Xenopus tropicalis: one gene and its partner. The protein of the gene in region 1 interacts with the protein of each later gene in a pairwise test. Links are inferred from orthologs where the notes say so. Each region holds a gene or a part of one and is shown in the gene's direction. Other genes may lie near its edges.

The links.
Region 2: the proteins of efhc1 (region 1) and kctd4 interact in binary tests that used the Homo sapiens proteins (3 or more experiments, as listed by UniProt). The two-hybrid records come from large-scale screens. The link is inferred for Xenopus tropicalis from reciprocal best matches to the Homo sapiens genes EFHC1 and KCTD4.

The regions. Positions count from the first base shown.
Region 1 is NC_030681.2:150,467,284-150,471,540, forward strand, and holds the start of efhc1 (EF-hand domain-containing protein 1), read left to right. Parts: upstream 1-1,425; 5' UTR 1,426-1,611; coding exon 1,612-1,674; intron 1,675-1,990; coding exon 1,991-2,212; intron 2,213-4,257. UniProt on the Homo sapiens protein: Microtubule inner protein (MIP) part of the dynein-decorated doublet microtubules (DMTs) in cilia axoneme, which is required for motile cilia beating.
Region 2 is NC_030678.2:133,875,056-133,879,598, reverse strand, and holds kctd4 (BTB/POZ domain-containing protein KCTD4), read left to right. Parts: upstream 1-1,584; 5' UTR 1,585-1,736; coding exon 1,737-2,510; 3' UTR 2,511-3,275; intron 3,276-3,614; 3' UTR 3,615-4,426; downstream 4,427-4,543.

The DNA.
Region 1 (4,257 bases):
AGTTGATTTAAAGGTGAACCACCCCTTTAACCTCGCAGCTCTCTTGCAGACCCAGTCCATAGCTGGAATTAACTCTATCCTGACTAAGGAGAGGACAAACCAAAATCCCCCTACAAACAGATATTGTAGATATTATGTAATAGATAATGTCCCTACTTGTCACCTGTCCAGTTCTGGGAACACACCAGTACCGGTATGGGATCCGTTATCCGGAAACCCATTATCCAGAAAGCTCCTAATTATAGAAAGCCTGTCTCCCATAGACTCCATTTTAATAAAATAATTCAGATTTTTTAAACCAATTAAATTTTTCTCTGTAATAATAAAACAGTACCTGTACTTGATCCCAACTAAGATATAATTACCCCTTATTGGGGGCAGAACAGCCCTATTGGGTTTATTTAATGGTTAAATGATTCCCTTTTCTCTGTAATAATAAAACAGTACCTGTACTTGATCCCAACTAAGATATAATTACCCCTTATTGGGGCAGAACAGCCCTATTGGGTTTATTTCATGGTTAAATGATTCCCTTTTCTCTGTAATAATAAAACAGTACCTGTACTTGATCCCAACTAAGATATAATTACCCCTTATTGGGGCAGAACAGCCCTATTGGGTTTATTTCATGGTTAAATGATTCCCTTTTCTCTGTAATAATAAAACAGTACCTGTACTTGATCCCAACTAAGATATAATTACCCCTTATTGGGGCAGAACAGCCCTATTGGGTTTATTTAATGGTTAAATGATTCCCTTTTCTCTGTAATAATAAAACAGTACCTGTACTTGATCCCAACTAAGATATAATTACCCCTTTTTGGGGCAGAACAGCCCTATTGGGTTTATTTAATGGTTAAATGATTCCCTTTTCTCTGTAATAATAAAACAGTACCTGTACTTGATCCCAACTAAGATATAATTACCCCTTATTGGATGCAAAACAATCCTATTGGGTTTATTAATATTTTACGGATTTTTTAGTAGACTTAAGGTATGGAGATCCAAAATACGGAAAGACCCCTTATCCGGAATACCCTTGGTCCCGAGCATTCTGGATAATGGGTCCTAAACTACCACTCATAAAAGCCCTTAGCAGCCATATTTGCTAGGAGACCATCCAGGTTGGAATTTTTCCCTTCCCTGCTAGTCTGACCCTGGGAACTGCCCATCGTTGCTGCTGAGTGCCAGCCCTGTGGAGTTGGGTTAAGTTTCCCTTTCATATACAGCAGCACATTGTGCCATATACAGGGGGTCCTGTGAGTGCAATACAGAGAGAGCGCAGACCCACAGGCAAGACCCAGTGAAACAGACAGTTGGGTGCAGGCACAGCACAGGCAGTTGCAGCTCTGAGGGGGCGGAGCTACAGACTGTTTACTGACACCATGGAGACTGGATGCTGCTGCTGTGTGTAACCTGGAGACTGGGAGCTGTGTGGGGAGACAGTGAAGGGACAGACAGGCTTTAGGGATACAGGGAGACGGGGGGAGAGTCCCACACAGGGGAACACAGGGAGCCCAACGGAAAGGCAGAGAGAGAGTGTGGGCCCCCCCAGCAGGGACCAGTTTAAGCAGAAAGTTTGAGGGGAGCTCCCCCCATTTACTGGGCGCCATGGCTTCTTATCCCGTGCACGGACTGCCCTTCCTGCCTGGGAACACCTACAGGGACCCCACGGTAAGTACCAGTGTCTTCCCATGCTGCACCTGGGCGGCTTTGGGAGTGTAGAGCTGTATTTGTTGGCAACATGGTGATGTAAAGTATTGGAGCGATTTGTATAATAGATTTGTATAATAAGTTTTATCCTTATCTGGGTCTGTTTTGCCCTCTCTGATCCAGTTGTACCATGTGACATACAAACAGAATGGAGGGTAAGTGGGTGGGGCCTGTAACAAGGGGTTCCTCATATCTATGGTGTTTGTATACTGTACCTACATGATGATCCAGTCTTTGGAACCGTAATCATCAGAACCTTGTGCCGATTCTGTTCCAGAAAAGCGCATTTCACCGCTCCCAGACCTTAACCTACAAAAACGGTTACAGTCGACCCATTCTCCCCACTGTCGGCATTGGACGGGAACCCATCACAGCCAACCAGCTGTCCCAAGCCGAACTAGATGAGCTGGCCAACAAAAGGCCAACACTGACCTATGGGCGTGCCAAGCCGGCCCCACCATCAGATTTCATCCCTTCCTATGTGGCCTTTGATAAAAAGGTAAGGTGTAATAATGGTAAGTTCCCATAAAGCAGTGAAGAACCACTTTAAGCACCATCCAGAGGGTCATGGCCCTTATTTATTTTATAAGCAAATGCAATAACCAGGGCCCCAAATCCCCCCCTAACTGGCCTTCAGGCTGGGCCTCCTTAGCCCATAACAAGGTTACAGATATATAGAAACATTGGGGTAACAGTCACCCTGCTATAGTTCCAGGGGTACCCAGGGCACAAATAAGCACTCACCCCAAATCCCCCCTAACTGGCCTTCAGGCTGGGCCCCCTTAGCCCATAACAAGGTTACAGATATATAGAAACATTGGGGTAACAGTCACCCCGCTATAGTTCCAGGGGTACCCAGGGCACAAATAAGCACTCACCCCAAATCCCCCCTAACTGGCCTTCAGGCTGGGCCCCCTTAGCCCATAACAAGGTTACAGATATATAGAAACATTGGGGTAACAGTCACCCTGCTATAGTTCCAGGGGTACCCAGGGCACAAATAAGCACTCACCCCAAATCCCCCCCTAACTGGCCTTCAGGCTGGGCCCCCTTAGCCCATAACAAGGTTACAGATATATAGAAACATTGGGGTAACAGTCACCCCGCTATAGTTCCAGGGGTACCCAGGGCACAAATAAGCACTCACCCCAAATCCCCCCCTAACTGGCCTTCAGGCTGGGCCCCCTTAGCTCATAACAAGGTTACAGATATATAGAAACATTGGGGTAACAGTCACCCTGCTATAGTTCCCGGGGTACCCAGGGCACAAATAAGCACTCACCCCAAATCCCCCCTAACTGGCCTTCAGGCTGGGCCCCCTTAGCTCATAACAAGGTTACAGATATATAGAAACATTGGGGTAACAGTCACCCCGCTATAGTTCCAGGGGTACCCAGGGCACAAATAAGCACTCACCCCAAATCCCCCCCTAACTGGCCTTCAGGCTGGGCCCCCTTAGCCCATAACAAGGTTACAGATATATAGAAACATTGGGGTAACAGTCACCCTGCTATAGTTCCAGGGGTACCCAGGGCACAAATAAGCACTCACCCCAAATCCCCCCCTAACTGGCCTTCAGGCTGGGCCCCCTTAGCCCATAACAAGGTTACAGATATATAGAAACATTGGGGTAACAGTCACCCCGCTATAGTTCCAGGGGTACCCAGGGCACAAATAAGCACTCACCCCAAATCCCCCCCTAACTGGCCTTCAGGCTGGGCCCCCTTAGCTCATAACAAGGTTACAGATATATAGAAACATTGGGGTAACAGTCACCCTGCTATAGTTCCCGGGGTACCCAGGGCACAAATAAGCACTCACCCCAAATCCCCCCTAACTGGCCTTCAGGCTGGGCCCCCTTAGCTCATAACAAGGTTACAGATATATAGAAACATTGGGGTAACAGTCACCCCGCTATAGTTCCAGGGGTACCCAGGGCACAAATAAGCACTCACCCCAAATCCCCCCCTAACTGGCCTTCAGGCTGGGCCCCCTTAGCCCATAACAAGGTTACAGATATATAGAAACATTGGGGTAACAGTCACCCTGCTATAGTTCCAGGGGTACCCAGGGCACAAATAAGCACTCACCCCAAATCCCCCCCTAACTGGCCTTCAGGCTGGGCCCCCTTAGCCCATAACAAGGTTACAGATATATAGAAACATTGGGGTAACAGTCACCCTGCTATAGTTCCCGGGGTACCCAGGGCACAAATAAGCACTCCCCCCAAATCCCCCCCTAACTGGCCTTCAGGCTGGGCCCCCTTAGCCCATAACAAGGTTACAGATATATAGAAACATTGGGGTAACAGTCACCCCGCTATAGTTCCAGGGGTACCCAGGGCACAAATAAGCACTCACCCCAAATCCCCCCCTAACTGGCCTTCAGGCTGGGCCCCCTTAGCCCATAACAAGGTTACAGATATATAGAAACATTGGGGTAACAGTCACCCCGCTATAGTTCCAGGGGTACCCAGGGCACAAATAAGCACTCACCCCAAATCCCCCCCTAACTGGCCTTCAGGCTGGGCCCCCTTAGCCCATA
Region 2 (4,543 bases), on another chromosome or scaffold:
CTGGTTATGATATTCAAATAATGGTGCTATAATAGTTGTGTAACAGCAGCTCATATATTCTCATTTTCTAATAAATTATTGAAAATTTGGTCTGTAAAAATGTAGGTTATGTTTCATTTAAATCTGCAATGCCTCAAACATGTCACAAAGACAGCTGACTTTCCTATTTGATCCTTTGTTCAAGGAAACCACCCAAACTGGAATCAATTGGAGCATTTGATCAAAAATCGACCTTACTGAACTCCATCAGTGTCATTTTGAGCTCCATATGTGTTCTGCACTAATTACCATGCAGGCAGATAGCCATAATAAATGGCAGCTAGTAATGAAAATAGCACCAGCTAATTGTTCTGAATGTGCCTGTACATAAAACAGAGACCGAGGCTAAATATTTGGCCATGACTGCACATTACAACAACAAGCCAATAACAGTGTCACACGGTTGGGAGCAATTTTGTAGTAACATAATAACTGGTTCAAATCAAACAAATTATTAATACTGCTCCCCTTGAACAGGTTATGTATAGAGGCAACTTGCTGCAATTACAGTAAAATTACAGGAAAGTATTATCCAACATGATGGTTGGATATTTCATATGAAATGCGTGCCATGACTATACATATTTTCCAGTGCTAAATGCAGCAGACAAACAGCTCAGCAATTCTTCCTGTGGGTTTACCTTGAAGGGTACATATACAGATATGTATGCATGCATTACAGACACACTCATTATCAACCTTGAACCTAGTCAGGTTTGGTAATGACAACATTTGTTAGTAGATGTTAAACCTATTTATTAATATTCTCAATTAATATTCTTATGTGCCAGTTTGGTAAACTACTATAGGTATGGGATCCATTATCGGGAAACCTGTTATCCAAAAAGCTTTGAAATACAGGAAGCCCATCTCCCATTCACTCTATTTTAAACAAAATTTTTTACAAATGATTTCTCTGTAATAATAAAACAGTACCTTATACTTGATACCAGCTGAGATGTAATTAATCCTTACTGGAGGCAAAACAATCCTATTGGGTTTATTTAATGTTTACATTTTTTTTTTAGTAGCATGGAGATCCAAATTACAGAAACACCCCTTATCTGGAAAACCTCAGGTTGCAAGCCTTTGGATAACAGGTCCCCACTGTGTGCACAAGGGCCAAGGCTTTCCTGATTAATAGTTTCACTGCCAGAAGCTCAAACAGTGTAATGTTTAGCAAATAATGATGGGATAATACAGCTCACTGTGTTTCGATCAGACATTTAAAAAAATGCAGCCAGATTTTGAGACTTAAAAAAAAAAATATATATTGACCACAGTTTTATATTTATTCACAAAATTCCTTTATTTTAATGGTACTATCACCTGCATAATAACTATTTAGTATTGGTACAAAGTTATTAATAGAACTGCATGGCCATTTTAGATTTCCCTTTTTGTATATGTCTAGAACTAACAGATGAATTATCAGAGAAGTGTTCACAGTTAAGATTTTGCCCTGACACAGTTAAATGCAAATCGCATTTTTCCCAGCTGTATTGGTGATATCTTGCTGTTTGCATAGCTCATACGCCACCTACTGCAAAACCAAGCTGACAACTCATGCAATGCTGGCAGCATTTTCATTCCATCATCGTGGCAGGGCTGAATAGGGTTCTTTTTTTTTTTTATTTCTCTTTACAACCAAACAAGAAGCAAGGCCAGACTGCTATTGTAGCACGCAGCTGATCAGTATGGAACGCAGAATCAACAGAACAGACAAAGACTGTGATGATAAATGTCACAATTCAGAAGATGGAGACCCGAGTACAAACTGTAAAACATCCCTTGTCACTCTCAACGTTGGTGGCTATCTGTACATCACACAAAAACAGACTCTCTCCAAGTACCCTGACTCTTACCTTGAAGGTGTGGTCAATAGGAAAATTTTCTGCCCAATTGATGCAGACGGACATTACTTCATAGACAGAGACGGGCTACTATTTAGGCATGTTCTGAACTTTTTACGAAATGGGGAACTCTTGTTACCAGAGGGTTTCAAAGAAAACCATCTTTTGGCACATGAAGCAGATTTTTTCAAGCTGAAGGCACTTAATGCAGCTGTGAAAGCTAGATGGGAGAAAGAGCAGCAGGCTGCACGGGAAACCACTTTTTTGGAAATAACAGATCACCACGATCGGTCTCAGGGTCTTCGGATCTTCTGCAATGCCCCTGATTTCATCTCCAAAATAAAAGCTCGCATTGTGCTGGTTTCCAAAAGCAGGCTGGATGGATTTCCAGAGGAATTCTGCGTTTCCTCGAACGTTATTCAATTCAAATATTTCATCAAATCAGAAAATGGGACACGTCTCGTACTGAAGGAAGACAACACCTTTGTTTGCACGCTGGAAACTCTTAAGTTCGAAGCCATTATGATGGCACTGAAGTGTGGATTCAGACTCCTGACTAGCCTGGATTGTTCGAAAGGGTCAATTGTTCAGAGCGATGCACTTCATTTTATCAAGTAATTACTTTTTCACTAAACAAAAGGCAGCGGAGGATCCAGCCAAGCCTCATTAAGCAGCAGCTCCTTGGCTTCACATCATGTACCTGACTCGTGAGCAAGCAAAGAGCTGTGCTGCACATGAATACATGTGAGCCAACGGTATGTACATGTCACCCAAAATGACAATTAACTCCTGACTGCAGAAAATCCTGCTCTTTGTGTAAAAGGAAGTCTAACAGGTTTTTAGAACATATTCACTGTAAATAAATGGTTTTATGCTGCTAAAATATTTGCCCTTCACTGCTGTCATTTGCAATCATGTTTGCGCACTATTATGTGTAACAACAGACACATTTAATCAGATGAAATTGTTCTTAACAGCTCTCTGTGAAAATCTTGCAGCTTTCAACATCTTTTTTTAAAGCACAATGTCAGTCTTGGCTTCAAATCAGCATTGTGAAACAGTCATATTCCCCAAAATGCACCTAATGTTATTACTGTATATCTTGTGTGACTGTAAAATAGATTTTTCCCTCACAAAAATGACTGTATAACTGTAGTTCCTATACTAAGGATGAATCCCAGAGAAGTATTTTTGTGCATGTATTTCAAAAGATCTTAGATGTGACTGTTCTCTTTGCATGTTTACATATAACTCAAAAATGGTTATTTCGGGTAAAAATGTAGTACAGAGAACTCATGAAAATTATAACATTTTTAGGTTGCCTGGTTATTTTAGAGTAGCATATTGTAGCAGACAATTCATATGTAGCTACCAACTAATTTTCATTACACCAGTGTATTTCAACCTTTTTTGGGCAAAGGCACACTTGTTTCATGAAAAAAATCACGAGGCACACCACCATTAGAAAATGTTAAAAAATTTAACTCTGTGCCCAGCAGCGGTGCCCCCCTAGTACATTGGTGCCAAGAGCAGTGCCCCCCTAGTACATTGGTGCCCAGCAGCAGTGCCCCCCTAGTACATTGGTGCCAAGAGCAGTGCCCCCCTAGTACATTGGTGCCCAGCAGCAGTGCCCCCCTAGTACATTGGTGCCCTGCCTACGGCACACCAGGCAACATCTCGCGGCACACTAGTGTGCCGCGGAACAGTGGTTGAAAAACGCTGCATTACACCATAGCTGAAGATCTACACAGAAACATTGTGACTAGGGTATAACAAAGAAGCATATATGACAATATATTATATATACATACTTTTTTCACTGCATTCATTCAATAACTAGCAAGGAGTTTAAAAAAATAAAAGTATATGTGCAGAAGCAGTCTGAAAAGCCTTTATCAAGTTTTCTGGCAGCTGGAGTATAACCCTTGCTAACACTGCATGTAGCAAAGAATATATTATGTTATATTTGATGCACATTTCCATGGTTTTTCATACTGTGTTTTTAAAATGATTTTTTCTTTGAAATATGTAATGAAAAGAATGTATTAAGAGGTTTCCATTGATTTGTGAATGATTTAATTACAACACTGCAGAGCATTTTTACATGATTTTGATTGTAATTATGACTGGATTACGATATGCAGCACTTAATTACACCCATAGCTTTATACAATTTCCCAAAAGGTATTGATTTGAGCTGTCTGTCATTGAGCACATACACAAAACATCATGAAGAAATGACAGCATATTTTTTAATTCTCCTGCCACAAACACTTGTAGCTCTGAGACCTGAAAACTTTTGCAACAACAACAATCAGTGCTTTCTTACGCAACATAGTACCCACCAAGTGTGTATATGTTTTTTCAATTTTAAACACAATATACGCACATATAACCACAAATGTAACCACAATGGACTTATATGCCTTGTTTTTATGCATTTTGCAGTTTTTCACAGAAGCAAGTGTAATTAGAACAATCATCAAACAGTAGAAAATTGCGCATGCTGGGTTTATAAAAAAAAAAAAAAAAAAAGCTTAAGAACCCAAAAGAGTGAAAACGTTTGAACACTTGTGAGTAAAGCTGAGATTAAATTTGCATTCAAAAAGCATTAAAAATGCATCTTATAAGAATGAATAATTCAGTTATGT